Arabidopsis thaliana: one gene and its partners. The protein of the gene in region 1 interacts with the protein of each later gene in a pairwise test. Each region holds a gene or a part of one and is shown in the gene's direction. Other genes may lie near its edges. The genes, in order: PTR2, ATERDJ2A, CNGC1 and CAM3.

Region 1 (7,232 bases):
TGAAACTACCTATACCACATACGACATTTATGGTTTTTTTTTTAATCAAACAAAAAAAATTATTGTATATTTTGGTTAAGAGATATGAAGTGAAATCACGTGTGAGTAAGAAGAAAGAGACATGAAATCATATATTAATTAATTATTGTAAATTTTGCACAAAAAAAAGAATTAATTATATATAAATATATATATATATATATATATATATATGTGTGTGGTATCTACATAATTAATTATTCTTCTTGTGATTGTAATATTTTGTAATATTTTTCACTATATGTAAATATGTGTGAGTTATTCGACATTTATGGTTTTATAGTTTCCAAAGGTATCAATATCACTGTTTGGATATTGAAGCTAAAGTAAAGAGAGAACGTAAACGAAAGAGTAGAGAGAAACTAACTCAGTTAACTAATAAAACCAATTGTACAAGTAGATTGATTAATTCAAGAAAACAACTAATTTGTTAACAACTCCGTTTAACAAACTAACAAACTCACAAAACTAAAACTAAAACAAATTTGTTAAATTATTATATATTTTTAACACTTTTATGTCTTTGTAGTATATATTATTGAATTTTCTTGTCAAGTAAAGTTTTTGGATTTGTTTGGATAAAACTGGGAGTTTAGGAAAATAGAGCAAATCAGCAAAATGCATCAAATGAAAAAAGATTGAAGATCACGACCGACCTTGACAATCGTAAGAGTCAGTACATAAGATGTCCAGAACTGATCGGTTACATACTTGTACCGATCATTATAAAAAATGTTTCTTAGTTTAGGATTCCGACTCATTGCATATAAATTCTTAACACTTTGTAATCGTATAGGCAGATTGTTTTGTTTTTTTTTCTGTGATTATCTAGTTTTTCTATATAAAATTTTATAAACAAAATGATCGTTTGAAGAATTAGAGCATATTTGTCATTTGTTATTTTGACTAATCCATCTCCATTCAAATTGTCCAATTATGTTTAGTCAAATGAGTTTGAAAATTTTGCCTAATTTAATCATCCAAATGAGCAAAAGAATAAAGCCACACATTACTTACTAATAATATTAAAGCCCACATTAAAATAATTTCTCACGTAAAAAACAAATACTTACACAAACCTATATAATCTAGACTCTACTTCACTTGTTTGCCCTAAACCATCTATCATCTCTCTTTCAATTCATCTACACCTTATTTTTATATTTCTCAAATACTTTTCGAGAAAATTATATACCCTTTTTAATATACGACGAATGAAATCGCAGGAAGATAATCTTCTACTTGTTCTTCTACTCGAGGGGATAAAAAATTACGGACTTAAGAGATGGGATAAGATACTAGCATCACTTCTTCTATCCCAGCGAAGTATCGCTAAATGTAAAAAAAAATTCTAATCTTTCGTTAAACGAAAGGTAAATTATTTTCTCGAAAAAATTTGTGTATAGAATTAAAGGTTTTCTTTAGTCAATAGCTAATCAATCTTATCATTTATTTTCTACTAGTTTCTTATTTGCACAATACATTTGAGAAAATTATGTTATGTTTTCAAGAGTTTTGGGTTTTTGTAGAGTATTAGATAAAATCAATATTTTCTCTCTTGAGACTAGTTTCTTCTTTGCACCATACATTTGTGTTCTTTTTCATTTTCTCAAAGCTGTTTGTTTTACCGAATTTTCTCTTGGGTTGTGGAGAATATTTTTTTTTTTTAGTTTTTATAACACCTTATCTTATATAAAAACAAAAGAGTTTGTTTTTACAAGGGATGATGGATGATGAATCTATAGATGGTCGTAGTACCACACTCTCTATGGACTCAAGTTGTGGAGAATCTTTTTTTTTTTAGTTTTTATAACACCTTATTTGATATAGAAACAAATGATTTTGTTCTTACAAGAGATGATGGATGATGAATCTATAGATGGTCGTACCACATTCTCTATGCACCCTATGAATCAAGTTGTGGAATCAATCAAAGTTGGCCACATATAGTTATGAAATGATTTTGTGATAAAAACACAAATTAATTTCTATGTGAATCACAAAGAAAATATATATATATATATATAATTCCCATTTGAAGTTTAAGCACAGACCTTAGAAAAATATGTAAACAAAGCCGATGTCTATAGTCCAATAAAAACAAATTTCGCCGGGAAAAGGAATATAAAAAATTTGTCACATTTACCAAAAAATAATAGGAGAGTTTATATAGTTTCAACGTACAATTAATGATCTAGGTTATCGAGTTTTAATTTCCATTTCTCCTAATTTTGCTGACTTGAGCTACATATTATTGAGCATTCTTGTTCTTTCAGGGTTTATAGAGAGATTGGCTGATAATTACTGTTTGTTATCTGAGTCCCCAAACGATTTACTGATATCAACAACGTATTGATGATGTATTGTTTTAGAAACACATATATGTAAAAAAAAAATTCTTGATTAGAGTGATATCAACAACTTGAGACATGGACAGGTAACAGGTTGATCCACAATTCTATCTTTACGTCATAATAATAACAAAAAATTCGTAAAAAGATGAGTTTTGTTAATTACTTCTCTTATTATAATCAAAGTTTTGATTTTTATTTTCCAATAAGTCGCCGGGAAAAGTAAAATAAAAAGCCGTCACGTCTCCGATAAATAATAGAGTATCGTTAGATAGGTAGCTTCAACGTAAGGAATCTAAATTGGTTCAGCTCAAAAAACGAAAACGATGGGTTCCATCGAAGAAGAAGCAAGACCTCTCATCGAAGAAGGTTTAATTTTACAGGTTTGTTCAATTTCAATTAATCACTTAGGTTAGCGAATTTTGATTTTACTCAATTCCAAAATCTTGACTTTAGATTGATCTTATGCATTTTCTTTCTGGGTTTATTGAGATCTTTTCTGGGCAATCACTGTTTTATCTAATTGATGATTCCAATGTTTGAATTTTGCAAGTAGATATAGATCAAAGTTTCGAGCTTTGATACAGTTATAGTTTAGTTAGCTAATCAAAAATGTTTTGTGAATTTGTTTTAAGTAGGAAGTGAAATTGTATGCTGAAGATGGTTCAGTGGACTTTAATGGAAACCCACCATTGAAGGAGAAAACAGGAAACTGGAAAGCTTGTCCTTTTATTCTTGGTAATGAATGTTGTGAGAGGCTAGCTTACTATGGTATTGCTGGGAATTTAATCACTTACCTCACCACTAAGCTTCACCAAGGAAATGTTTCTGCTGCTACAAACGTTACCACATGGCAAGGGACTTGTTATCTCACTCCTCTCATTGGAGCTGTTCTGGCTGATGCTTACTGGGGACGTTACTGGACCATCGCTTGTTTCTCCGGGATTTATTTCATCGTAAGCATTGCTTCTCTGTGTAATGTTTGGTTTGGTTTGTTTGCTCCTGATTACTGATAGGTTTTTGTATTTGTTTAGGGGATGTCTGCGTTAACTCTTTCAGCTTCAGTTCCGGCATTGAAGCCAGCGGAATGTATTGGTGACTTTTGTCCATCTGCAACGCCAGCTCAGTATGCGATGTTCTTTGGTGGGCTTTACCTGATCGCTCTTGGAACTGGAGGTATCAAACCGTGTGTCTCATCCTTCGGTGCCGATCAGTTTGATGACACGGACTCTCGGGAACGAGTTAGAAAAGCTTCGTTCTTTAACTGGTTTTACTTCTCCATCAATATTGGAGCACTTGTGTCATCTAGTCTTCTAGTTTGGATTCAAGAGAATCGCGGGTGGGGTTTAGGGTTTGGGATACCAACAGTGTTCATGGGACTAGCCATTGCAAGTTTCTTCTTTGGCACACCTCTTTATAGGTTTCAGAAACCTGGAGGAAGCCCTATAACTCGGATTTCCCAAGTCGTGGTTGCTTCGTTCCGGAAATCGTCTGTCAAAGTCCCTGAAGACGCCACACTTCTGTATGAAACTCAAGACAAGAACTCTGCTATTGCTGGAAGTAGAAAAATCGAGCATACCGATGATTGCCAGTAAATATCCGCTTCATTGCTTTCCAGTAATGTATAGCTTTACTTGGTTTAACAAGTTATTCTGGTATGATGCAGGTATCTTGACAAAGCCGCTGTTATCTCAGAAGAAGAATCGAAATCCGGAGATTATTCCAACTCGTGGAGACTATGCACGGTTACGCAAGTCGAAGAACTCAAGATTCTGATCCGAATGTTCCCAATCTGGGCTTCTGGTATCATTTTCTCAGCTGTATACGCACAAATGTCCACAATGTTTGTTCAACAAGGCCGAGCCATGAACTGCAAAATTGGATCATTCCAGCTTCCTCCTGCAGCACTCGGGACATTCGACACAGCAAGCGTCATCATCTGGGTGCCGCTCTACGACCGGTTCATCGTTCCCTTAGCAAGAAAGTTCACAGGAGTAGACAAAGGATTCACTGAGATACAAAGAATGGGAATTGGTCTGTTTGTCTCTGTTCTCTGTATGGCAGCTGCAGCTATCGTCGAAATCATCCGTCTCCATATGGCCAACGATCTTGGATTAGTCGAGTCAGGAGCCCCAGTTCCCATATCCGTCTTGTGGCAGATTCCACAGTACTTCATTCTCGGTGCAGCCGAAGTATTCTACTTCATCGGTCAGCTCGAGTTCTTCTACGACCAATCTCCAGATGCAATGAGAAGCTTGTGCAGTGCCTTGGCTCTTTTGACCAATGCACTTGGTAACTACTTGAGCTCGTTGATCCTCACGCTCGTGACTTATTTTACAACAAGAAATGGGCAAGAAGGTTGGATTTCGGATAATCTCAATTCAGGTCATCTCGATTACTTCTTCTGGCTCTTGGCTGGTCTTAGCCTTGTGAACATGGCGGTTTACTTCTTCTCTGCTGCTAGGTATAAGCAAAAGAAAGCTTCGTCGTAGTAATGCTGTTATCTATCTACTTTCATTACATACAAAAGTTTGTTTCTTTCAACTGTAACTGTCTCTGTATCAATAACAACATTGCTGTGTACTTTTCCTTTCAATTTCAAAAGTTTAAGTCGCATTTGCAATATTATAAACAATTCAGGGTTCGAATACTAAATTGAGAGAAATTGTCCATAGGCTTAGTAAATCAAATGGGCTTTTGGCCCATATCAAACGGGCACAAATATGACCCGGAGAAGAAGAATGTTCCGGGTCAATAAAATCGAAGAAGAAGAAGAGAGTATCGTTGTGAGGTTTGGGGATCGCGAAAATGGAGGTTCCAGGTTCATCGAAGAAGATGATCGCAACGCAAGAAGAGATGTCTGCAGCTAAAATAGCACTTGGATCTAGAGATATGTGCGCTCATCTCTTGATTCCGCTCAACAAATGTCGTCAGGCTGAGTTTTACCTTCCATGGAAATGTGAAGACGAGCGTCACGTTTATGAGAAGTGTGAATACGAGCTTGTTATGGAGAGAATGCTTGCGATGAAGAAGATCCGTGAAGAAGAAGCTTTGGCTAAACAGAATAAACTACAAGGAAACGCTGCTGTTCCTCTTATCCCTAAAACTGCTAATGCTTAGGATTCGATTCCTTCTCCAATTTGCCGATTCCAGATTCCGGTTAGTCTATAGTTTTTCGATTTCTTGTGTTTTGGTTGATTTGATTGAATTGGTTTGTTTCTTCTGCTACATGATCAGATCTTCGTGTTCTTCAAATTCCAAATTAGGGTTTCATTGGGAATAAATGAGATTGCTTGTTCAATTAGATGTCTAATGCATTATCTTGGTTTTGAATTGTGAATTCTCTCGTCTTAGCAATTTTGTTGCCTCTGTTGTGAACATTTGACTACAATTGGATTCAATTTCTCTTAGACTGCAATCACAATTGTTCTGTATCAATCATGTTAGAGAAATGTCTGGACTTTGTACTTCTTGTTGTAAAGTATCTCAATGATATCTGAAGTTTGGATAAGGAAAATTCCATCATTGACTGGATTTTCTACAGATTTTGTTTTTTCATGATGTTTCCTTTTCAAAGCTTAATAGATAAGTCTTTAAGTAATCAGTAGCACTAATTTGCTGGAACCTTTAGACTATATAAGGATTTAAGTGTGTTTTACTGATTAACAGGACACAATTCAATTCGTTAGACTATATCTTTTATGTTTGCAAGTTATATGTTCGATGAACTTGTAAATAGTGTCTCAGATATCATGACTAGCAATTGTTACAGTGACTTTGTGTTACAGACCCGTAGAGGATATAAGAGTGTTTCACTGCTTAACAGGACACAATTCAAGTCGTTAGACTATATCTTTTGTGTTTACAACTTCTTTTGCCCGTTCTCTGTTTTAAGATCTTGTAATCTGATATCATGACTAGCAATTGTTACAGTCGCTTTGTGTTACAGACCCTTAAAAAGGATACAAGAGAGTTTCACTGATTAACTAGACCCAAGTCTATTCGTTAGACTATATCTTTTATGTTTGATTTATGATCTCACACTTCTAGGCTTTGAAATTCTTATGATTGATATATATCTTTTGTGAACTTGTAAATTGTGTCTCAGATATTCATGGCTAAGAATTGGTACAGTCACTTTGTGTTACTTATAAATCCGTGAGAAGAATTGTATAATTACAGCACCAACTACATACCTGTGTCTAAACGTTTTCTGCTTTGTTGTTTTGGTATTTTATGTCACAACAGCTACAGAACAAATCTCTTAATGTCTCTCATCTTCTTGTTCTCACTTGCCATTGAGTACTCTTGCATGCTTGTGTGATTCTTTCCTTTTTCATATCGTTCTTATGTGTTTCACTACTTGTTCATTGTATATGCCATTATGATTTGACACCAATGGGTGTTTTCTCTGTTATAAAGATAGACCCCTAAATACTTGGTCTAAGATTCTTCAACATGACAATGATTTTGTTTTCTCCTGATTTGATTGTTTATTCATTCTTCTGAGTCCTAATTCACACTCTGAAAATATTTGGACAGGGATTCTCTGGAACTGTGAAGATGGTGGGGACTCTGCTTTTCAATCTTTTTCTTCTTGCTAGTGATGAAAAATTGTTGCTACATTTTCAGATGTGAATGTTCAAGATTCTCTATCTTTTTTTTTTTTTTGAACTCTTTTTAACTTGGAGTGGTTTCCCAAAAAATAAGATGCAAAACTCATCTTTTTGTTGGTTTTCTATCTTTAATCTGTGAGAAATAAAAAATATATATGAGATCACTGACACATTGCTTATAGAACCAAATCACTTCACTGGAAGAACCATCTAACGAAATTAGTGA
Region 2 (8,696 bases), on another chromosome or scaffold:
AAAGTTATGGAAGCTTGAACCCAAATCTGGGTTTTATCGTCGTAGAGAGAAAACGAAGAGCAGGAGAGGTTGTCGTAAGGAAGAGACAAGAGAGCGAGAGGGGTTTATTAAGAAGCCCCCAGGGTTGCGTTCCTCTCTACTTTTCCTTTTTTCTTTTCACACTTTCTTTTCCTTTTTTTTTTTAATTACTACTTTTATGTCCTTTTCTTCTAATACTATATCTTATGATATTTATTTTTGCCTCTCTTTCATAATTTACGTAAACAAATCGAGTCTACAAATAAAAATTATCAAAACCAAATTAATACATTTGCGTAAAGCTCTTCCGTCCAAAACCAAATTATTTATAAGTTGAAAGATTATACAACTAACTTTGTATGCGTTAATGATAAACAACAATAATAATTCTAAACTATTTGAAAAATATTATTAGCTAGTAAATGATTTCTGAGTTGGATTTTTTCGAGATAATGTCACTGTTTACTGGCATTTCAATCCTACTGTTGCAAACCTTATTTTGTGAAATATTCTTAGTGTGGACAAAAATCTTGGATCGTAATCATCTAGTACAGTACTTTCTAATCGTCAATTAGATTGAAGAACTATATTAAATGTTTACATATATTTTTGGTATCACTTGCTTCTTTATTTGCATCTTTCCTACCTGATCTTAAGTTTACTCGGTTTAAAACTACTGTATATAGCAAACTTGCAATGACATGCAATATGCTATGATTGTTTTCTTTTGTTATAAATGTTAATATCATATATAAAATGAAAGAAATGTATTACAAAAGAGCATTAACCTAATCACCAGATTGCGAAAACCTTTTAGATGTCTTCTTGAAGATATGGTATTGCAAATTTCACGGTCAAAATTCTTGAAAATGATCGAAGAAAGCAGTGACTGTGAATTATGTAAGACATTATTTACTTGTTTTCAAATGTGGTAAACTCCACCGTGTGCTGCCATTTTTTTGAGAGTGGAAGGAACATTTGGTGAACGAGTTTTTGTCCAAGAGAGAAGCTCAAACTATGTGGAAGGCATATGCGTGTGCTGCCAGTTTCTTGAGAGTGGTAGGAACATTTGGTGAACGAGTTTTTGTCCAAGAGAAAAGCTCAAACCATGTGGAAAGCATATTCGTGTGCTGCCAGTTTCTTGAGAGTGGTAAGAACATTTGGTGAACAAAAGCTCAAACTATGTGGAAGGCATATGATGCGAGAAATGCTTAACCGAGAAAAAAATTAGCCTCCAAATCTCACAAGCAAAATCTCAAGTTAATAAGCATTTTAGCAGTGGTGTCTATGTACAACAATATCATAATATGAAAGCCAGTAATAAAATTTAAATGGTATGAAAAACGATAATAGCTATATAATAACATTTTCTTTGTTTTTAATATCTATATTTTGTTTTAGTTATATATAATATTAACATGTCAACAAAGTTTTCAAATAACTGATTATTTAATATAATCAAAACAAGTAAAATTATACGATATTTGGCTAGATTTAAAACGACTATTTTAGTGAATCGAATAACCAAATCATACCAAACTCATTCAAAATCATTATTAGCTTTCGTTACAGTAGATAAAAAAGTATTGGTAACCATGCTCTTATAAATTTAATTGAATTAGACAGTTTATGATTAAATCGATAATAATAACGAAGATTGATGTATTTTGCAAGTAGAACAATTTATTTCTGGTCGAAATATAAATAGTTACAACAAAACAGTTTTCTTAAAATCATTAAATATTTGTTTTGTTTAAATCTCTATTTTGTTGTAACTATTTACAATCTCTAGATCACATTAAATCTCTAGAACATATAAGAGATTTGTTGCAATCCCTATTACAATATCTGGATCACATTAAATCTCTAGAGCATATAATCCCTCTTTGATCCATATCCTTTTCTCTTTTTCCTTTCTAATTTATAAAAAATGTGATTTTTTTTGGGAAATTCGTTTTCGTTCACCATAAAAACTTTGCTATTAATAATTACTCTAATTTAATGGAAAATAAATAACTCGTAAAAATGTAAAGAGAGAAATGAATTGCGAAATATTTTAATTGAGAAGGTAAAGAAAAGTGAATAAGCAAGTAAAGAAGAAAGAACTCACCAATCAGAAATCAGAAATTAGAAGAGAAGAGAAGCATAAAGAAAAAAAAACTGCAACGCCGTTTGTTGCCGATCTGCAGCAGCGCGATCTCTCTGATTATAGAGAGCTATCATCCTAGGTGAGCTTCTTCTTCGATTTCCTCTTCTACAATATCCTTTCAAGTTCGATTTCATCTTCTTTCACCAATTATTGGTTTTGCTTCCTTCCCGTAGTTTCGTTTGTTTGTTTTCTAAGGTTTTGTGTCGATCTCAAAGTGAGTCCAGGGATTCATATACCTTTAGACTAGATTAGCCGAGATCTATTAGTGTTGATCTCCGTCATGTAGAATCCCTAATTAATTTCAGTGGCCTCAGATCCAGCTTTTCATGTTATTGATAATTTTGTATCCTTGAAGCTTTTTGGATGTTGTGAGATTATAACAGAGCTTTTCCTTTCAGCAGAATAGAATCTCTCAGTTTAAAGGCTCCAAAGATGGCGGCGTCAGAAGAGAATAGCGCATTGTTTCCCATTTTTATCTTGACGATTATGGCAATTCCTTTGGTGCCTTACACCATGGTCAAGTTAAGCGGTGCTCTCTCCAAGAAACAAAGGACCATTCATTGTCAGTGTCTCGAGTGTGACCGTTCTGGAAAATATAAGAGATCCTTGTTTAAAAAGGTTACTTTCCACTCAACCTCCTGCTCTGTAATAGATTATTGCATGTTCCTAACCTCTTCTTCACTTATCTATCTGCAGATCTCTAACTTCTCTACGTGGAGCAACTTGACACTTGTGCTACTCTGGGTCGTGATGATTTTCTTGATTTATTACACTAAGAACATGAGCCGTGAGGTAATCCCATTGCTTGCTGTTGAACTTGAATGCACCGCTGACTTATATCAACTAATTCTACTTGCTTATTTACCTTCTTTTGTGTTACAGGCTCAAGTTTTTGACCCATTCAGTATACTTGGACTGGAACCTGGAGTTACAGATTCAGAAATAAAGAAAGCATATAGAAGGCTGTCGATTCAATACCATCCTGATAAAAATCCAGATCCAGGTCAAGTTTTTCCCCTTGTTATTTTTTTTTTCCCTTTTGATCATTACGGAATTATGGTTGCAGCTTTTGATCCTGATAGTTTTTTCTTCTATGCGCATTTGTTGATCTCTACAGAAGCCAATAAATATTTTGTGGAGTTCATATCTAAAGCATACCAGGCTTTGACTGATTCAGTATCCCGTGAAAACTTTGAGAAGTATGGTCATCCAGATGGCAGACAGGTAAGGATACATCTCCTTTCCCTTCGCATGTGCTCCCGTCTTATTGACAAGCCTATTGAGACTAAAATATTGTTATGTGATCGCAGGGATTTCAAATGGGCATTGCTCTTCCTCAATTTCTTCTAGACATTGATGGAGCATCTGGTGGCATATTATTGCTTTGGATAGTTGGTGTCTGTATTCTCTTGCCCCTTGTGATTGCTGTTATATATCTCTCGAGGTCATCAAAGTATACTGGGAACTACGTTATGCATCAAACACTCTCCGCATATTATTATCTAATGAAACCCTCTCTGGCCCCAAGGTATATTCACTCATACCCATATACATTCAAGTGATGCTATTGGTGCATGACAAATGGGCTGTGTTTTCGTTTGTTTGTATGACATGTTTTAAAATTTTTATTGTCCAGCAAAGTTATGGAAGTTTTCACCAAGGCAGCTGAGTACATGGAGATTCCAGTTCGTAGAACTGATGATGAACCTCTGCAGAAGCTCTTTATGTCTGTTAGGAGTGAACTAAATTTGGACCTGAAGAACATGAAGCAAGAGCAAGCTAAGTTTTGGAAACAGCATCCTGCCATAGTGAAGGTGAATTTTAAAATTATGCAACTGTAATGCTAAATATTGGATAAACTGAAATACTCACTTCCTCAATTTCTGTACAGACCGAGCTGTTGATACAAGCCCAGTTAACTCGTGAATCAGGAGTCCTGTCTCCAGCCCTTCAGGGTGATTTCAGGCGTGTGCTAGAGCTTGCACCTCGCCTCCTTGAGGAGTTATTGAAGGTCTAGTCTCTATTTAAATAACACAATTTCTGATAAAATAACCATCAAAAAGCGATGACCGCAAAGTGCTAACCTAGAAGATATGTATTTTCCTTTAGAGGAACTCGAAACAGACTCTTAAAAGACTTAGAAATTTAGGTTAATAGTGATGCTTTTGGTTACACTGTTAAATTGTGGTTTTCTTAACCATTCTTTCATTATAACATTGTGAGTTTCTTGCAGATGGCGGTTATACCACGCACTGCCCAAGGGCATGGATGGCTGAGGCCTGCAGTTGGAGTAGTTGAGCTATCTCAGTGCATTGTTCAGGTCTTAAATTGCTCTCATCGCCTATCTTCTAGTTTTTATTTGTTTGTGAGCTTTCAGTTCTTTATGTCTCTTTTCTCCACAAGATTTACTTCTTCCTGAAAGTTTAAGAAGTGCTTAGTGTTGTTGTCTAGGAACATAAACTAAAAATCCAAAATCGCAGGCTGTTCCTCTTAGTGCAAGGAAGTCTTCTGGAGTATCATCAGAAGGCATTTCCCCTTTCTTACAGCTCCCTCATTTCAGTGATGCCGTTGTCAAAAAGATAGCACGGAAGGTATACTACTATCAAATGTGTCAAGTGCAGTACTAATATCTAGTTCCATATCATGTGCATTTTTCTCTCACTTTTTGATTCCTGAGAATCTTGTTGGATTCTGTTCTCCAAATAAGTAGTAGTGGTTCTTTAGGTTGGTTTACTTAAAGGTCTAGTCTAAAGACATATATAAACCTCCATTTTATGTTAACATGTCATTGTTTCTCCTATTTTCAGAAGGTTAAATCATTCCAAGATCTTCAAGAAATGAGGTTGGAAGACCGTTCTGAACTACTTACTCAGGTAGCGGGTTTATCAGCAACTGATGTTGAGGACATTGAGAAGGTGCTAGAAATGATGCCGTCTATTACAGTCGACATCACATGTGAAACAGAAGGGGAAGAGGGGATCCAAGAGGGAGACATTGTGACCCTTCAAGCTTGGGTCACCCTGAAACGACCCAATGGGCTTGTAGGCGCTCTTCCTCATGCACCCTACTTCCCCTTCCACAAGGAGGAAAACTATTGGGTTCTTCTGGCTGATTCAGTGTCGAACAACGTTTGGTTCTCTCAGAAGGTTAGCTTCCTGGATGAAGGTGGAGCGATAACGGCTGCATCAAAAGCCATCAGTGAGTCAATGGAAGGTTCGGGTGCAGGGGTGAAGGAAACAAACGATGCAGTGAGAGAAGCGATTGAGAAGGTTAAAGGAGGGTCAAGGCTGGTCATGGGTAAACTCCAAGCACCGGCAGAGGGAACATACAACTTGACTTGCTTCTGCCTGTGTGACACATGGATCGGGTGTGACAAAAAGCAAGCACTGAAAGTGAAAGTCCTGAAAAGAACCAGGGCAGGGACACGTGGGTTGGTTTCAGATGAGGGTGCGATTGCAGAAGAAGGTATGGAGGAGGAAGATGAGATTGAGGAGGAGGATTACGATGATGATTACGAAAGTGAGTACAGTGAAGATGAGGATGAGAAGAAAGATATGGATGAGAAGAGAGGGTCGAAGAAGGCCAATGGGAGTGTGAAACAGAAGAAAGAGTCGAGTTCTGAAGAGTCGGGATCGGAGGAAGAGTGAAACAGAAATGAGATTTTACATTGATAAACAAAACAAAAAATACAATACTTTTGTCCTGGAATCTTGACGGAAACTTCTTTTTCACAGTTTTGATATTCTCTCATTGGCTCCCTTCTCTTTCTTTCTCTCTGTATCACTTTTCTTCAGAGACACACATACAAGCAAAACGCGACTAAGGAGAAAATCGTACTAACTCGGACAAATTTTGGTACACAGCATTACAAAACAAAACAAAACTTTTTAACTCCCCCAAATAGTTTAGGGTTTAGGGTTTATTGGGGGCCCCAATACAGACCATCAGGTATCAGGTAATGGGCCTTGTTAATAAAGTAGTGGGTTATAATGGGCTTTACGGTTGTTTCAAGAAGTGGAAGCCCTACAAGGCGGGAAAATCAGAAGAGGCGCGTCTGCTTCCGTCTTCTTCTTCGTCTTCTCCGGAGAGGTTTTGTGGTGTTATCGGCGGAATCCGACCCGAAAATGCCAAATTACAGCATCAGAGGAATCAATGTTGAATTCCCATTCGAGGCGTACCAGTCTCAGATCATATACATGGACAGAGTCATCGAGTCTCTTCAAAACGTGGGTTTCCCTCTCCCTCTCTCTCTCTCTCTTTTTTACACACCAACTCTCTTCAACTGTTTTGTTGATGATGATATTCGCGTGATGATACTCTCTCTCTCTCTCTCTATTCTGTTGTTTATTTTGCTTTCCCCAATTCTATATCGCTTTTTAGGGTTCTTCCCCGTTCACACTGACCATTTGGGTTCTTAAATTAACGCTGAATTAGTTGTTAACTAATCTTGTTTATAACTTGTGATGATGATGCAGAAATGTCATGCGCTTTTGGAGAGTCCTACGGGAACTGGGAAAACTCTTTGTCTTCTCTGTGCCACCTTAGCCTGGCGAAAGAGTCTGGGCTCTTTCTCAACCCGTAAGGATCGGAAGAACAGTGCCATTCCTTGGTCCGATTCAGACGAGCCTCTGTCACAATCCGGAGGAGGAGGAGGAGGAGCTTTTCCCACCATAGTTTATGCGTCCCGGACTCATAGTCAGCTCCGCCAAGTGATCAAAGAATTAAAAAGAAGTAGCTACAGGTCGGACACACCACAAATTCTGTTTCTGCCTTATAGCTACCTGCTCATCATCTCTTCTCAATCAATTTTGTAGGCCTAAGATGGTGGTGCTTGGATCACGGGAGCAGTTATGCGTTAATGAGGAAGTCAACTCCCTCCGTGGCAAAGCACTCACTAATGCCTGTCAGTACCTTTGCAAAAAGCGCGGTAAACGCCAATGCAACCATTTCAATCGCCTTCCAGGTACACAGCCATCATCAAACGACCATTTATAAATCCTTCTTCTTTATGAATTATGGTTACTATTTTTCCCTTTCCTTTAATCTTTTGTAGATTATTTGAAGCATAACCCTCATATTGGCGACGAACCTGTTGACATTGAGGATTTGGTCAATATTGGAAAAGATTCTGGACCGTAGGTTCCTCTATTTTTTTTGCTACTTCAACAAATATTTTCGTTTCTTACGTTCCTGGCTTTTTCCATCTGTGTACTATATTTGTATTTTTCAGATGCCCTTATTATATCACAAGAGAGCTTCACAAGGACGTGGACATCATATTTGCACCTTACAACTACTTGATCAGCAATGGGTATAGAAAGTTTTTGAAAGTCAACTGGACTAATAGTGTCCTTATTTTTGATGAAGCGCACAATCTGGTAAGGGACTAATGTTGTTTCACATATAATTTCCTTATGTATTCTCTGTTCATCATGAACTCTTCGTTTCTTGGGGTTTTGTTCTATTTTTCCGGGTTACCAAACGATTATACTGCTTCCAACTTCTCGAAACACTCAGTTCATCTTTAAAACATGCGCAGGAAAGTTTATGCGCAGACTCTGCTTCATTTGACCTTCCTTCTGTTCTTTTATCGGCTTGCATTTCTGAAGCGCAAGAATGTGTACAACTTGCGGCAGCAAGAAGGGATTCATTAAATGACGTTTCCATAAACCCTGAGAATTTTGCTATACTTAAAGGTCAAACTTTAGGCCTTGACTGAGATTACAACGTTCTGTTATACATGAATGCCTGTTCTCATCTATCGTTGTTTTTCTCTTGCAGGACTGCTTCTTAAGCTGCAGGAACTGATTTCTAAAGTGCCAATTCCCAAAAGGGACGAGGGATTTACCAAGCCTGGGCCTTACATATATGAAATGCTTAAAAGCCTTAACATCACTCACGAAACTGCTCCTAAACTCATTGGTACAGTTGAGGAGGCTGCAGTGTTCCTGGAGGAGGAAAAACAACGAACAGCGACCAACGCTGGAAGCAAACTAGAAATCATTGCTGACATGCTTAAGCTGATCTTTAGAGAAAATGGAAGTAACCATGCAGATGTTTATCGTGTAAGTTTTAAGAAGAGTGTTGTTCTTTATATTCTGTGTCGAATTTTTATAATTAAGTTGAAAAGAAAATTATCTTTCTCTTACACCATCTCATTCGTCCTTTGTTAGGTTCATGTACAGGAGCTGGAGCAAAATTCTACTGATGTGATGAAAGGTAAATAAGAGTGCGATTTTCTAAAGCCTTTAAAACAAAACATTGTTGCTGTCCCAAAGCATTAACAAAAACGCCGTTTTGCTAATTTGAAAACATAGTAATCATTCTTATTCTGCTTCCCCTGTTGAAACTGGAAACAGTGTCTTTTGAAAGATTAGTCATATCTTTGGAGGAAATAAATGAATGATTTATTTTGTAGGCAAGGTATCAAGAACGCTTAGCTGGTGGTGCTTCAGTCCTGGGATTACCATGCTGGACATAGCACAAAAAGGTGTTGGGTCTATCATTTTAACATCAGGGACCTTGTCTC
Region 3 (8,167 bases), on another chromosome or scaffold:
CCTTAATGATCGAATTATACTGTGTATGAACATATTTAACAAAGACAGGAAAAATTTTAGTAACTTCACTTTTATTCCTTAGCATATAGACCCAAGTAACTCTAGTACAATCATCAACAATAGTGAGAAAATACTTAAAACCATCTATAGACTCTACTGAGAATGGACCCCAAACGTCTAAATGAATAAGATCAAATGGATTCTCAGACAAATGATTATTTGAACTAAAAGGTAACCTTTTCTGTTTAGCTAATGGACAGACTTCACAATGATCATGAATAGCAGACTTAGTCATAGGTAAAATACCAGAAAGATGTTGTAACTTGGCAGATGATGGATGTCCTAGGCGATGATGCCATAGACGATCATCAACTATCAAGGATCCACAGAAATTTGATGAATGCAATGTATCTTCTTTCTTCAGAATGTAAAGATTATGTATGAGAGTTCCTCTACCAATCGTCAAGTCCCGAGTATGGTCCTGAATATAACATGAATCATGATAGAAATGAGCTGAACATTTATTATGCATAAGTAAAGAACTAACACTGATGAGATTAAACTTGAATGTTGAAACATATAAAACATTATGCAAAGTCAATGTGGATGAAATATGCACTGTGCCTGTGTGACTAATGGGTACTCTAGTGCCATTTGGAAGTGAGACTGTAATACCAGTAACAGGAAAAGTCTCACTAAACATTGCCAAATCAGAACAAACATGACTACTAGCTCCACTGTCAACTATCCAAGCATCATGAGGCAAAATGGAATATAATGATGAAAGACAATGATGTTGAAATGTGAAAGAATGATTTTCATATCGTAAACTTGTTGAGGGAAATTCAATAGAAACATTACCAGCTGTAGAAGTAGTTGCCATAGCTCCATGATCAGTGATGGTAGCTGATGGAAAGGGAGTTGACTGCTCCGGAACATGAAGATGAGTATTGAGTTGTTGTATTAAAGAATGGACTTGATCCGTCGTAAAAAGACTGAGATCAAGACTTGATGCAGTCATTGCAGGAGGTGGAATATAAGGAGTAGATCCCATGACTGCATTAGCAACAGCATTATGTCATTTTTCATTCAAATCCGAAGAAGAGAAAGATACTCTTACAAATGTCTTTTTCTTGTGATAATTTTACGGGTGGGAAGATGGTTGACTTTGACTCATATCGTCCATATTCAAAGGTCTTGATAGTTTGAATTCGATGTTAATAGTATTTTATTCGTATAAACAATTAAATAAGAGTTGACAATGTTTAGACAAATTTGGATTATGAAGTAGTAACAATGATAAAATCTTGAGACTGGTCTCCAAATCCGACAGCTAGGAACCTCCCTTGGCATTCATAAGACAACGTACAATCAGGGACACGATACGGTCAACGGTCTCTATTAGCACTTAATTATCAGTATCAATTAAACTATCAATTGAGTAATATAATAGACGTTCAAATTTAATTTTAAACTTAACGGTCTAAATTTGTGGAGAACAAAATTTGGTAAAAATGAGAAGATAAAGAGGAAGAGGACACGTGGGTTGGTTCGTGGTTGATCGACAAGTACTCACGGGCTATATCTTTAACTTATCATCCTTTTATTCTTAACAAAAGAAATTTGGTGGAGATAAATTTAATCATGGTCATGGTTTTAGTAGCTACAAATGCAAATGTGATTTTCTTTTTTCGTCTGCGTTTGCAAGTTTGAAATTTTTGGTGCTGATGAAAAAAAGAAGAGATGATGTTTCACCATTTTTTTTTTTGTTTTTTGATCAAAGGATGTTTCACCAACATAAGAAAAGAAAACATGTCATGAAGGAGTTAGGACTAACAGTTTGAAAATACTTAAGAACTCAAATGTTAAAAAGGCTCATATTTTTTTCCCAAATTATGTCATCTCCTTCTATAATCTAAATCATTCGTGATTTAACATAAAACTAAATATTAAGTAACTTTATTCAAATCTATGAAATCGATTTACCATATACACGATTTTAAAAAGGATACAAGCGGAAATGAAACTGTGCATTGAAATATACGAACAAAAAGCCTGAGTTTACGAAATTTGACATTATCTCATCAACACGAAACTTCGACGTATTACAAAGACAAAAATCAAACCTACAAAAATAGAGAACAATAGTCAGTTACAGAATTTAAGTTTGCCACGAAAATGATACATCATTATGAAGTTTTTGTATGCCTAAACATTGATATCAGTTAATGTCTTCGACTGTAATAAAGAAATGCCTTGATTAACTCCGTAACTACGTCTTCTTTTGTCAGCAAATTCTAATTTATTACATGCTTAAGTTGATTTGATCCCATAACCAAACAACATATATATGGAATGTATATAAAAAAAATCTAAGCAATCTAAAAAAATTAATTATAATATATGCTATAAAAAAAATTATAGGAAACTTTGCTAAATGGCATAAACAGTTATTTTAATTAAGTATATGGAATTGTCAAAAAATTATCATTATTTTTTTAAAAATACATGATTGACTCTTTTTTTTTGTGTGCAAACAAATACATGATTGACAAAAAAAAAATACATGATTGATAAAGATATTTCTTTCAACATCTATGGATGAGAGGATCAGGAAATGTAGCATTATTTTACTTTTGAAAACTACATATATTATTGTTGTGAGCCTGTGAATTCTGTAATCTTCCAACATATTCGTCTACTAAAAAACTGACAACTCAATTCAGAACATATTTTTCTACTAAAAGGTGAAGTTAAAAACTCAATTTAAAAAAGATTTCGTACTTAATAGTCAAAGTTAAATTTGGTCCGAAATCTTTTTGAAGTATCAAAGACTGCAAAGGTATAACTGTCTTTTTGGAATAACTTTAAAAAAATTAACAAAAACAGTGAAACAAAATTTAAGAAAATCGAAGAAAAAAATGATAAAATAGCAAAAGTTTGTGACTTTCGTGGAAACTCCTTCCCCGTCCTCTCTGTCCTCTGATAAAGGCTTCACTTTCATCATTCAATCTCTTCTTCTTCTTTCTTCTTCATCACTCTCTCTCTTTCTCCAATTTCTTCATTTTATCAGCTTCCTCTCTTCTTTAGTTTCTGGGTCACTTTAGTTTCGCTCTTTCCGAGGAAAAACAAAACAAAGATTTGATTTTTCTTTTTGGTGGGTTTAAACAGTGATTTCTTCTTTTGCCCTTTTATTGGTTCTTATTGTTCTCCTCAAAAGTCTACAGGATTGTCGGAAGCAAACACACTTGTCCATGTTCGGTTTGATTTTTTACCTCAAACAAGTTTCTTCCTTTTTTTTTGCTGTTTAGTCGAATTGCGTTTTTGACACTGGAAAGTTTTGAAATTTGAGTTTGATTTTTACTGAAATCGAAATTGTTGAATTGAATTGAAGTTTGTTGAATCAGGGTTATGAATTTCCCTCTAATTGGTGAAGAAGACACATGAAGCAGTGAAATCTCTGTTTGTATTGAATCTTATTAGTCTCAAACTATGAATTTCCGACAAGAGAAGTTTGTAAGGTCAGTGTTCCAGATTTGTCTCATTGAATTCTAAGTCGTGAAGCTTAATTCGATTCTTCTTCACTTTCTCGGATCAGGTTTCAAGATTGGAAGTCGGATAAGACTTCCTCCGACGTGGAATATTCCGGTAAAAACGAGATTCAAACTGGAATATTCCAGAGAACAATAAGCTCAATCTCCGACAAGTTTTACAGAAGCTTTGAATCAAGCTCTGCAAGGATCAAACTATTCAAAAGATCTTACAAGTCTTACTCTTTTAAAGAAGCTGTTTCAAAAGGGATTGGTTCTACTCACAAAATTCTTGACCCACAAGGACCTTTTCTTCAGAGATGGAACAAGATCTTTGTTTTAGCTTGTATCATCGCTGTCTCGCTTGACCCTTTGTTCTTCTACGTGCCTATCATCGATGATGCTAAGAAATGTCTTGGTATTGACAAGAAAATGGAAATAACAGCAAGCGTTTTGCGCTCTTTCACTGATGTTTTTTATGTCCTTCACATCATTTTCCAGTTCCGTACTGGCTTTATCGCTCCTTCGTCTCGTGTTTTTGGGAGAGGTGTTCTTGTTGAGGACAAGCGAGAGATCGCTAAACGTTACTTGTCCTCACATTTCATAATTGACATTCTTGCTGTTCTTCCGCTTCCGCAGGTGATTCATTGATTGGTTTTGTTTGCATTTCCAAATCATTAGCTTGATTCTTTGAGTAATGTGAGTAATTGTGTTTTTCCTCAGATGGTGATTTTGATAATCATTCCACATATGAGAGGTTCATCGTCTTTGAACACGAAGAATATGTTGAAGTTTATTGTTTTCTTCCAATATATACCGAGGTTTATAAGAATATATCCGCTCTACAAGGAAGTTACAAGAACTTCAGGCATACTCACTGAGACAGCTTGGGCTGGAGCTGCTTTCAATCTCTTCCTCTACATGCTTGCTAGTCATGTGAGTGCCAAATTGGTTCTAACTGTCCCAACCTTTTTAGTTTCAGAGTTTAGATATATAATATTTTTGGTCAATACCTGTAAATGTGTAGGTGTTTGGTGCTTTCTGGTATTTGTTCTCAATCGAACGCGAAACGGTGTGCTGGAAACAAGCTTGTGAGAGGAATAACCCTCCGTGCATTTCGAAGTTGTTGTACTGTGACCCTGAAACTGCAGGAGGCAATGCTTTCCTCAATGAGTCTTGTCCGATTCAGACACCAAACACAACACTCTTCGACTTTGGGATATTCCTTGACGCACTTCAATCCGGTGTAGTGGAATCTCAAGATTTCCCTCAAAAGTTTTTTTACTGTTTCTGGTGGGGTCTGCAGAACCTCAGGTATTGAGAATTTATCAGCAAAATTTTCTCCGTTTCTTATGAAGAAAAGTTTCAACACTAAGTTCTTGCATCTTTGTTCTGTTTTCGTGATCCAGTTCGCTCGGTCAGAACCTTAAAACAAGTACATATATTTGGGAAATCTGTTTCGCGGTGTTCATTTCTATTGCGGGGCTGGTTTTGTTCTCCTTCTTGATTGGAAATATGCAGGTTAGTCTCATTTCATCTAATATGCCATAGTGTTTGCGAAATCGATTACTTACTGCTTTTCTTTTAAATGGCAGACGTATCTGCAATCCACTACCACGAGATTGGAGGAGATGAGGGTAAAGAGAAGAGACGCAGAACAATGGATGTCACACCGTTTGCTACCTGAGAACTTGAGAAAAAGAATCCGGCGATACGAGCAGTACAAATGGCAAGAGACAAGAGGTGTTGACGAAGAGAATCTTCTTAGTAATCTTCCCAAAGATCTTAGACGCGACATCAAACGTCATCTCTGTCTCGCCCTTCTCATGCGGGTAAAGAAGAAATCATCTCCTCTCTTTACTCGATTTCTCATTTATTGTCAACATCACTCGTAACCGCATCTTGTTTTTGTTGGTTCTAGGTCCCCATGTTTGAGAAAATGGACGAACAGCTTCTTGATGCGCTCTGTGACCGTTTGCAACCTGTGTTATACACAGAGGAAAGCTACATAGTAAGAGAAGGAGATCCGGTAGACGAAATGCTCTTCATAATGCGCGGGAAGCTTCTAACAATCACAACAAACGGTGGAAGAACCGGTTTTTTAAATTCCGAGTATCTTGGAGCCGGTGATTTCTGTGGTGAGGAGCTTTTAACCTGGGCTTTAGACCCACACTCATCCTCAAACCTCCCAATCTCAACAAGAACTGTTCGAGCTCTCATGGAAGTTGAAGCTTTCGCACTTAAAGCTGATGACCTCAAATTCGTGGCTTCCCAGTTCAGACGTCTTCACAGCAAACAGCTAAGACATACTTTCAGGTACTACTCACAACAATGGAAGACTTGGGCCGCTTGCTTCATACAAGCCGCTTGGAGAAGATACATTAAGAAGAAACTCGAAGAGTCTCTTAAAGAAGAAGAGAATCGGTTGCAGGATGCTTTGGCTAAAGAAGCTTGTGGAAGTTCCCCAAGCCTCGGTGCTACAATATACGCATCACGGTTTGCTGCAAATATCTTGCGCACAATACGTAGGAGCGGATCAGTAAGGAAACCAAGGATGCCGGAACGAATGCCACCTATGCTACTTCAGAAACCAGCAGAGCCAGATTTCAACAGTGATGATTAATTAATTAGCATATATGTATATGAAAGATTTTATTGCGAACCATAGAGCCAATATATAAATATAAGTCTTTTTATAAAGGAGTAAACTTAGAGATACAAAGCCTTCAATGATTTATTATTCCTCTTCAAGAGTTCTACAAAGTTTGATATGAGGGATATGGTAGAGCCAAACAGAAGTCAAGAAGCCAGAAGTGAAGCTACTTCTCTCCGCAGGAATGTGGGCAAAGCAAATGCGGCTCTGTGCATCTGTTTTAGTAAAAAGATAGATCAGGATTTTGCTTTAAGTTAATCTAAAACAGTAAATGAGGAAGTCATAGTTGTGTTAAACTTACATCAGAGTTATAGAACTTCAATTCTCTTTTATGGGTCATCGCACCGTCTAGTTTCTCAATAGGGTTGATTGGGTTCTTGAAGTCAACAGCTGGTCCTTCAGTAGAGCACAAGACGAAACCAATCACGCCGCTGCAATGAAGATATGTTGCTCAATTCATGTTTCTGATTTCAGTGAGATCACACAATGTAATCAGAAGAAAAGTAGAGTTAACCTTGGATATGTGGGGACGCTGCTCCACGCATAGTGAACACTTTTGAATGTTTGACGGCAAATGGAGATCATATCTTCAATAAGATGAGTATGGAGCCACATACTTTCTGCCATGTTACAAAGAACTCCCCCAGGCTTCAACGCTCTAGCCAGTGTCTCGAAGAAAGGCTTCTCAACAAGCGCAAGAGCAGGACCTATGATTATATAGAGTGAAAACGTGAGAGTTTGTAGCTGAAGTCTGAACCGAGTTTTGATTTAGAAAAACAAAATAAGAATCACTCAGATATCCAAAGAGTTTTGCAGATGAATCATACCTACGGGATCTGAAGAATCAACAATGATGGCATCATACTTCCCTTCAGGGGATTTACGGAGGAACTCAGCAGCTGCCAGAGGAAAGTGATATCAACACAAGCAAATTTTTGACTACGTTTTGTGAACAGAGAACAAGTAGAAGAATGCTTAATTACCATCACCAATGTGAAGTTGAACACGAGGATCGTCAAACCCAACCGCTAACTCGGGGAAGAACTTCTTAGACACCTACAAGACCACAGAAATCCCACTTTCTGAGATAGAACATAACTAAAAATTGTTCATACATATGGCAAGCACAAAACCAAAAACTTACATCTATAACCATCTTGTCTATCTCACAGATATCAATAACCTCAACAGAACTATGGCGAGAAATCTCTCGAAGAACACCACCATCACCTCCACCAACAACAAGAACCTGCAAATATTTAGACAGCGAAGGCCAGCATTAATACGCAAGTAAAATGTGTAAGCTTGACAATTCCCTATTTTAATCTGAGCTGATTCTACATTTCAATGTACTGGAATGAGTCATCATTTGCGATAAGAGCTATCTCATGAGATCATATAGGAAGAAGAGAGCTACAACAACGCAATCGCATTGTGTTCCAACATATTCTCCAAAAAGAGGCACATTCATCACAAATTGAACATACTTTTAGATTGACTGATTTATTGCAACAGGCTACAAGATATAGGAAACCAGAGAGACTAAACTTTTTAAGGTGAGAAATTACATTTTTAGGGGAAGATATAGAGCATAAAGGCAGATGGGCTATCATCTCCTGATATGCACATTCATCTTTTTCGGTCAGCTGTACGATACCATCTAGAACAAGCACCTTTCCGTACGTGGCTGACTGCAAAAAGAAGAACAACAGCCTCAATTAATAGAAGAAAGACTCAGATGATAAGAACAATCGGACAAAAGCATAGATGCTATCTCAAACCTCGAACACTAGGACTTCCTGAAAATCCGACTTGTCTTTGAACAGAACTTTCTCAACTTTCAGTGAGTGTGCTTCTCCTACAATTAAACATAAACCAGTTGCATCAGTCACATGAGCAAGCACTCTGAAAAACTACAACTCACAAACTTTAACATACAGATTCAGCATCTAAACCAAGTAGGCGCTCATTCAAAGACAAAAAA
Region 4 (6,330 bases), on another chromosome or scaffold:
CCGGCTGCCTCCCCGGGTTCTTCAACCTCTTCCTCTCCACCTTCAACCGCCGCAAATCCATCACCTTGGGATCTAAAAAGCGAGAACAAAGAACCGTCGTTTACGCTTCTCCTCCGCAAGATTCATCAAACGGACAAGGCGGAGGAATCGTTGCGCCACCGCTTCCGCACAATGAAGGAGAGGGAGATGCGGCGAGAGTTAGTCTAGTCGGAGCACTAGAGAAATGTGATCGGGACTTAGAGGAGCTAAGAAGAACCATCGACGTCATCAAAACCACTTACATTCTTCACAAGAGACTTGAGGTTTCTCCGCCGACCACACGTGAGAATTTTAAATTCTCCGGCACCGGTACGTTTCTCCGTTTTTGTCAGTGTTTTGGTCATCTTATACGTTTAATACAAACATGTCGAAATCATCTTTTTTTTTTTTCACTTATAAAAACTTCTCTTATTTATTGATAACTTAACAAAAATCAAGAAAGAAAAATTCATATTAAAATGTGGGAGAATTGATGTGGTCCGTAATTTGTAGCACATTATCAGGGAATTTTGTATTTTAATCTTTTGTTGTTCAAAATAAATAAATTAAAGTAGTAAACTTAAGTGAACATTGTGTCAACTAAAGTAGCAATAAAGAGTGAAGATAGAATGGGAAGGCCAAAGAGTTGTCTCTTTAATTTGGTGGTGTTGAAATCATGAGTATGTCCAATAGTGGAAGACAGGCTCATCATTTTGGTATATACAAATAAAAGTATATTGATAAAGACATCTTATTGCTCTAACAATTTCATGCATGCATAAACTGTGTTATTTGATTTTGATGTCACATCTAATTGCTCTAACAATTGGATCATTATATAGTTGTTGTCATATTGAGGATAGTGTTCAAAATTATATAAAGACAATATAGTATGGACCCCAATTAAGTTTCGGTGGGGCTAATTATGTAATGAGGTTTAGTCTAATCTGATAGGATCAAATTAAAGTGGAGAAGAGAGTAAAGAAAGTGTGAGGAGAAAGAGGCATGTTAGACAAATGATGAAGGAAGAAACAGCTTTTAGGGGCCTTTATTCCTTTAGTCATGAAGCCCACTTTAACTTTTCCCATCATTTGGACCCCCACCCATTCTTTGATTTATTCCTGATTCTGACCCACATACTGTTTTATGGTACCAAATCAAGAACACCACTTTTAAAGAAAAATGATTCTACAAGCACTTCATGTATGCCTGAGTCTTATTATTCGCTAGTAATAGTTTATATATATTTGTGTGACAACGTACTAATTTATATACTAAACACACAAGTTGTCTGATAAATTATTTTCGTCTTATTTAACAAACAACCAACAGTACTGGCAGGAGATGTCGTCGTGGGGACGCACACGCAGAAGAACACGAAGACGACACAACACGAACCAGACACAGACACGATGTTGTCGATGATGAACCATCACGAATATTGCTGCAAAGACAACAAACCCTACAAAGTCAACAATATAAATCTAATCACTAGACCCGATCATTACTCCATTCATGACGTCATTTCCAAGAGATCAACGTCAACGACGACGACAGAGTCATGTGGCACGTTGCCCCTTGTGGTGCGGAGGGTAAGACGGAGCTTGATGGAGAGCGTGAACCAAGTTTGTGATGACGTGGCATCTGGTCAACGAAGAGAGGTCGCTAAAATCGGTTTGGCTCTTCATGATCACATCTGTCGCGACTTGATCGCAGAGACCGTTCGAGAGCTCTCCTTCTCTGACTACGACGACGACGAGTTTTATCAATCGCCGGTGGATTCTTCTGTTTGTTACGGCGGAGGAGGTAAAGGCCAACACATCCGACGTGGCAGCAGCAACTCTCTCCCATTCGACGCGTGTCGAAGAAGATTAGTGTTTTGATGCGATTGATATCTTTAGGTTCGTTGTGACGGTTATGGAAGTCATAGTTGCGACAATTTTCACCTATGACACTTGTTGTTTAAATTATTTTATAATTTTCTTAGCTTATTCAGAATTTAAGACATATCTTTCAATAGAGTGCAATTGGTTGTTTAGGGTTTAATGAATGATACACTATTTGCATTCAATATAAAAACTTTCCCTATTTGATGAATTCATGTATATACTAGTACTACATAGATTTCCTTAAATAAATGAATGATTAACAAAATCAGAAACAATATATTCATCTAGATACAGATATTAATGTTTTTTTTAATAACTCATCCTATATTTTAAAACTCGATCGTTTTCTCTTTATATATACCTTTCTTAAGTTACCTTATATACATAATTTAATCATAGAATTTATTAAGAAATTGATTAGACGTATCAATTATATCTTGAAGTGATTTTGATTGTTTGAAAACGAAATCTAATCTAATTAATTTGCAGGTGATATTGTACTTAAGTTAACAATAAAAGAAACTAATTATTTGTTTTCAATGGTGAGGAGGACTACTTAAATTCAAAAGCGAAGCCAATCATAAACAGACATCTGTACTGAGAGAGATCTCGAGGACCCAGCGAGAATGCTGACGTGACAGTCAAGTCAACGCTCCGCGTACAGACCGCGTGAACGTGTGATCCGTTTAATTGTCCACTCTGGCGTTTTATAAGAGAAAAGAAATCATTGATGATAGCATTAACGCAATTACAGTCATAATCCGAGGTTATAACAGAGATTTTTCCAAACCCGGTACGGGTTAAAAAAAAAAGCTTTTAAAGTCCCGGGTCGGAGCAAAAGTCGTTAATAGCTTCGTACCCGATAAATACGGTTGCTCTCTCGTTTTTTCCAGCAGAGACACTTTTTCTAATTTTCTCTTCTTCTTCTTCTTTCTCGTTTTGAGAGAAAACAAAAAAATTCTGAATCTACAGGTTTCACGAAAAGGAGAAGAAAAAAACAATGGCGGATCAGCTCACCGACGATCAGATCTCTGAGTTTAAGGAAGCTTTCAGCTTATTCGACAAGGATGGTGATGGTACGTTGTTGTTTTTTTCTCTCTCCCTCTCGCAATTTCAAATGTTTTTGAATACATAGGATTTTGCTACTGTTGGATCTTGGTGTCTAGCCATAACTGATTTGATTTCTGTTCTTCTTGTTGATTCAATTGATCTGTGTCGATGTAGATAATTAACGGATCTGTAATTCGTGATCTCTAGACTCGTTCCTTGTTTTTCAATTTTTGTTCGTTTGTTTCCTGGATTGGATTTGAATCGAAATTTGGATGATTGATGACTTGGAGATTTGCCAATTTGTTATCGATTTGGATTTAATTTTCCATCTGAATTATTTTATCTCACTTTAGATTTGAGAAGTTAATGACTAGAAACTGTTAATTGAGAAGTTTGGGATCTAGCTAAAATGCTTCTCTACAGAGAAACCTGCTTTGAGTTTCGTAATTGAAGATATTTGATTGAATTAGATTTACAGAGAAGTGAATGATGAACAAATTCTTGATTTGCTTGTAGGTTGCATTACCACCAAGGAGCTGGGTACTGTGATGCGTTCCCTTGGACAAAACCCAACCGAAGCAGAGCTTCAAGACATGATCAACGAAGTGGATGCTGATGGTAACGGTACCATTGATTTCCCAGAGTTCTTGAACCTTATGGCTCGTAAGATGAAGGACACCGACTCTGAGGAAGAGCTCAAGGAAGCATTCCGGGTTTTCGACAAGGACCAGAACGGTTTCATCTCAGCAGCTGAGCTCCGCCATGTGATGACAAACCTTGGTGAGAAGCTTACTGATGAAGAAGTTGATGAGATGATCAAGGAAGCTGATGTTGATGGTGATGGTCAGATTAACTACGAAGAGTTTGTTAAGGTCATGATGGCTAAGTGATGCTGTTTTAGAACCAAACAATGGCTCTATAAACTTGGTTTGCATCTCTTACATATAAATTCTTATGTTATGTTCTATAATTTTTATTCATGGGACTCGAGGTATGTTTTCTGCTTGTTTAAGACGCGAATGTTTTATCCCTTTTATGCTCTATTTTGCGTCTGAACATTTTCAAAAGTCTTGTTTTTTTGTTGTCTTGCTCCTGTAATTTGTAACCTTGGTCTAGTTCGCGGTTTTTTATTAATGGTGTCTCTCTAGTAAAGCATTGTATCATGGTTTTGTGAAATGCAAATTAGGTCCTATCAATGACTAAAAAGGTCAAAACGTGGTGTGGTGTGTATCATTAAAAAAATAGAAACCGACATAAAAGTTTCCAATTCGTGGTCGTTTAAGAAAAAGGAAAACGGCATAAAGTTTCCTATTCGTGGTTGAATTGGGATCATTCAATTGATGTGAATATAGGTAAAATACCTTTGTGTTTCTTTGTTCACGTTCGTTTCATACTTCCCCTAAATTTGTCTCATCATGGATAACAAGAAGCAGAGATATTCCAGGAGCATCCGTGACGATCGTGATGAGAGAGATAGGACTAAGCATCATCATGAGAGGTCTCACGAAGGAAGTAAGAGGAAAGATAGATCAGAGGAAGAGAATGGGGCGGCTAGGACGACAAACAAGAGTTCTAGGTTTGAAGATGTAGCTAGGTTTGAGAAAAGGCCGTATACTTGTTCTATTGCATCGGACACTACTTCTAGTCAAATCCTTGAAGCTGTTAAACGATTTCAGGAGCTGGCAATAGATACGGCTGTTGCACATAAACAGACCAAGGGCTTTTTTCTGCGTGTAGATGTACTTGGAAGAGAAATAGATGAGTATGGGCATGTGATTAATCTTAGTACATTGATGGTTAACAACAACAAACACAAGAAAGATGTTTTTCAGAATATTCTTAAACCTCCCCAACCTTTTAAATTGACAAAGAAGGAAGAGAAGAAACTGCAAACTCTAAGGCGTGTGGCAAAAGAAAAGGAGAAACAGAAGATGATTAGACAAGCGTTGTTTGAACCACAAAAATCAAAGGTGAAATTGAGCAACCTAATGAAGGTTCTTGCGTCTGAATTAGCAACCCAAGACTTCTTCTTATGAAGAGTTTCCTTCTTCTCATTTAACAGATTAACTATGAAGAGTTTGTTAAGGTCATGATGGCTAAGTGATGCTGTTTTGGAACCAAACAATGGCTCTAAACTTGGTTTGCATCTCTTACATATAAATTCTTGTGTTATGTTCTAATTTTTTTTTTGTGTGGGACTCGAGGTATGTTTTCTGGTTGTTTAAGAAACGAATGTTATATCCCTTTATGATCTATTTTGCGTCTGAATATTTTCAAAAGCCTTGTTATTTCTGTTGTCTTGCTCTTGTAATTTGTAACTTGGTCTAGTTCGTGGTTTTCTATTAAAGGTCTCTAGTGTCATTGTTTTTTTAAATGCAAATTAGGTCCTATCAATGGCAGTCAGTTTACGTTAAATTGATTTCCTAACGGGGCTCATTGAATAGCTTCAAATGATCAACGAAACAGAAGGCCAATAAAAACCTAAACACAAGAGAATGTGAAACACCTCAGTAGAAATTTTAATGAAACATTGAATTTAGTGAAGCATCAAATCATAAGATGTCCGCGAGTTTCTTCCAAATATTAGCAATCATTTAACAATTTGCTTTGTTTCTTATAATTTCATTCAAAAGAACTTCACATGACTTTGAACCTCTTGGCATCGAAGCTAAGTCCTCTTCAATCTGTTGCTTCGCTTCCACTTCACATGGATATGTCTTATAGAAGATTTTTGCCGTTTTCAAACAAAGCGCATGGTTCAGGAGATAACTCACCAGATCCTTATCTCCGTATCTCCCTGTGTACCCTTTCCACTCTAGAGCTTCAAGACTGGACAACAAACATTCGGGAACCAAACTTGGCGGTTCCCAACGACCCAACGGGGTTAGTAAGTAAACCTGCGATCACGAGAAAAAATGGTAAAACTGCTATTAATAATAAGATCATTGAGGTCGAATATTAAACACTAGTATAAATTACAATGGTAAAGGAAAAAAGGGAGAAAACTGAATACATGTTCAAGCTTGAGGACCACCAATTTAGTGAAACATAGGAGCAAATCTACAAGCATTTCCACAGATCTTTCACTACATATGCTCAGCTCCAGATGCACGATTCGACTGAAGGTACTTGCATCCTAGAAAAAAAAGAAAAAAAAAACACGATATTTCATTTATGTGATGGTTCCAACAAGATATAACACGAGAAAGAAACGACATGGAATGAAAAAAGTTACCTCTAATTTTGATGGAACTCCGAGCCTAACCCGTACAATATACCGGTAACGGCTTGCATATGCCAACTCTTGAATGCTGAAGTACTTGAAAGAAGGTGCGATAATCGCAAGCTTTCGAGTGTAGTTTTTCATCAAACT

Evidence for each region.
Region 2: the proteins of PTR2 (region 1) and ATERDJ2A interact in a protein complementation assay, tested with the Arabidopsis thaliana proteins (one large-scale study listed by BioGRID).
Region 3: the proteins of PTR2 (region 1) and CNGC1 interact in a protein complementation assay, tested with the Arabidopsis thaliana proteins (one large-scale study listed by BioGRID).
Region 4: the proteins of PTR2 (region 1) and CAM3 interact in a protein complementation assay, tested with the Arabidopsis thaliana proteins (one large-scale study listed by BioGRID).

Annotation. Positions count from the first base shown.
Region 1 is NC_003071.7:484,826-492,057, forward strand, and holds PTR2 (peptide transporter 2), read left to right. Parts: upstream 1-2,572; 5' UTR 2,573-2,716; coding exon 2,717-2,773; intron 2,774-3,028; coding exon 3,029-3,346; intron 3,347-3,424; coding exon 3,425-3,981; intron 3,982-4,056; coding exon 4,057-4,882; 3' UTR 4,883-5,116; downstream 5,117-7,232. Other genes in the region: AT2G02050 (NADH-ubiquinone oxidoreductase B18 subunit), read left to right, coding at 5,199-5,510. UniProt on the Arabidopsis thaliana protein: Peptide transporter. Mediates the transport of di- and tripeptides. High affinity, low capacity transporter. Can also transport histidine.
Region 2 is NC_003070.9:30,067,424-30,076,119, forward strand, and holds ATERDJ2A (DnaJ / Sec63 Brl domains-containing protein), read left to right. Parts: upstream 1-2,095; 5' UTR 2,096-2,246; exon of another isoform or gene 2,247-2,289; intron 2,290-2,565; exon of another isoform or gene 2,566-2,568; 5' UTR 2,569-2,599; coding exon 2,600-2,785; intron 2,786-2,863; coding exon 2,864-2,959; intron 2,960-3,049; coding exon 3,050-3,170; intron 3,171-3,284; coding exon 3,285-3,391; intron 3,392-3,477; coding exon 3,478-3,695; intron 3,696-3,803; coding exon 3,804-3,981; intron 3,982-4,058; coding exon 4,059-4,178; intron 4,179-4,400; coding exon 4,401-4,487; intron 4,488-4,647; coding exon 4,648-4,758; intron 4,759-4,974; coding exon 4,975-5,814; 3' UTR 5,815-6,017; downstream 6,018-8,696. Other genes in the region: AT1G79950 (RAD3-like DNA-binding helicase protein), read left to right, coding at 6,157-6,393, 6,643-6,908, 6,982-7,130, 7,221-7,302, 7,398-7,545, 7,707-7,863, 7,949-8,232, 8,341-8,386 and 1 more. UniProt on the Arabidopsis thaliana protein: Required for integral membrane and secreted preprotein translocation across the endoplasmic reticulum membrane.
Region 3 is NC_003076.8:21,535,816-21,543,982, reverse strand, and holds CNGC1 (cyclic nucleotide gated channel 1), read left to right. Parts: upstream 1-2,953; 5' UTR 2,954-3,261; intron 3,262-3,407; 5' UTR 3,408-3,492; coding exon 3,493-3,521; intron 3,522-3,598; coding exon 3,599-4,169; intron 4,170-4,253; coding exon 4,254-4,466; intron 4,467-4,557; coding exon 4,558-4,844; intron 4,845-4,939; coding exon 4,940-5,051; intron 5,052-5,125; coding exon 5,126-5,362; intron 5,363-5,451; coding exon 5,452-6,153; 3' UTR 6,154-6,262; downstream 6,263-8,167. Other genes in the region: SPDS3 (spermidine synthase 3), read right to left, coding at 6,330-6,398, 6,485-6,614, 6,698-6,890, 7,011-7,082, 7,167-7,239, 7,328-7,432, 7,671-7,874, 7,965-8,041. UniProt on the Arabidopsis thaliana protein: Acts as a cyclic nucleotide-gated ion channel. Can be activated by cyclic AMP which leads to an opening of the cation channel. May be responsible for cAMP-induced calcium entry in cells and thus should be involved in the calcium signal transduction.
Region 4 is NC_003074.8:21,032,498-21,038,827, reverse strand, and holds CAM3 (calmodulin 3), read left to right. Parts: upstream 1-2,661; 5' UTR 2,662-2,907; coding exon 2,908-2,983; intron 2,984-3,473; coding exon 3,474-3,847; 3' UTR 3,848-4,294; downstream 4,295-6,330. Other genes in the region: AT3G56810 (uncharacterized protein), read left to right, coding at 1-348, 1,351-1,901; AT3G56790 (RNA splicing factor-like protein), read left to right, coding at 4,373-4,993; AT3G56780 (FBD, F-box and Leucine Rich Repeat domains containing protein), read right to left, coding at 5,552-5,854, 5,971-6,093, 6,193-6,330. UniProt on the Arabidopsis thaliana protein: Calmodulin mediates the control of a large number of enzymes, ion channels and other proteins by Ca(2+). Among the enzymes to be stimulated by the calmodulin-Ca(2+) complex are a number of protein kinases and phosphatases. Activates MPK8 in vitro.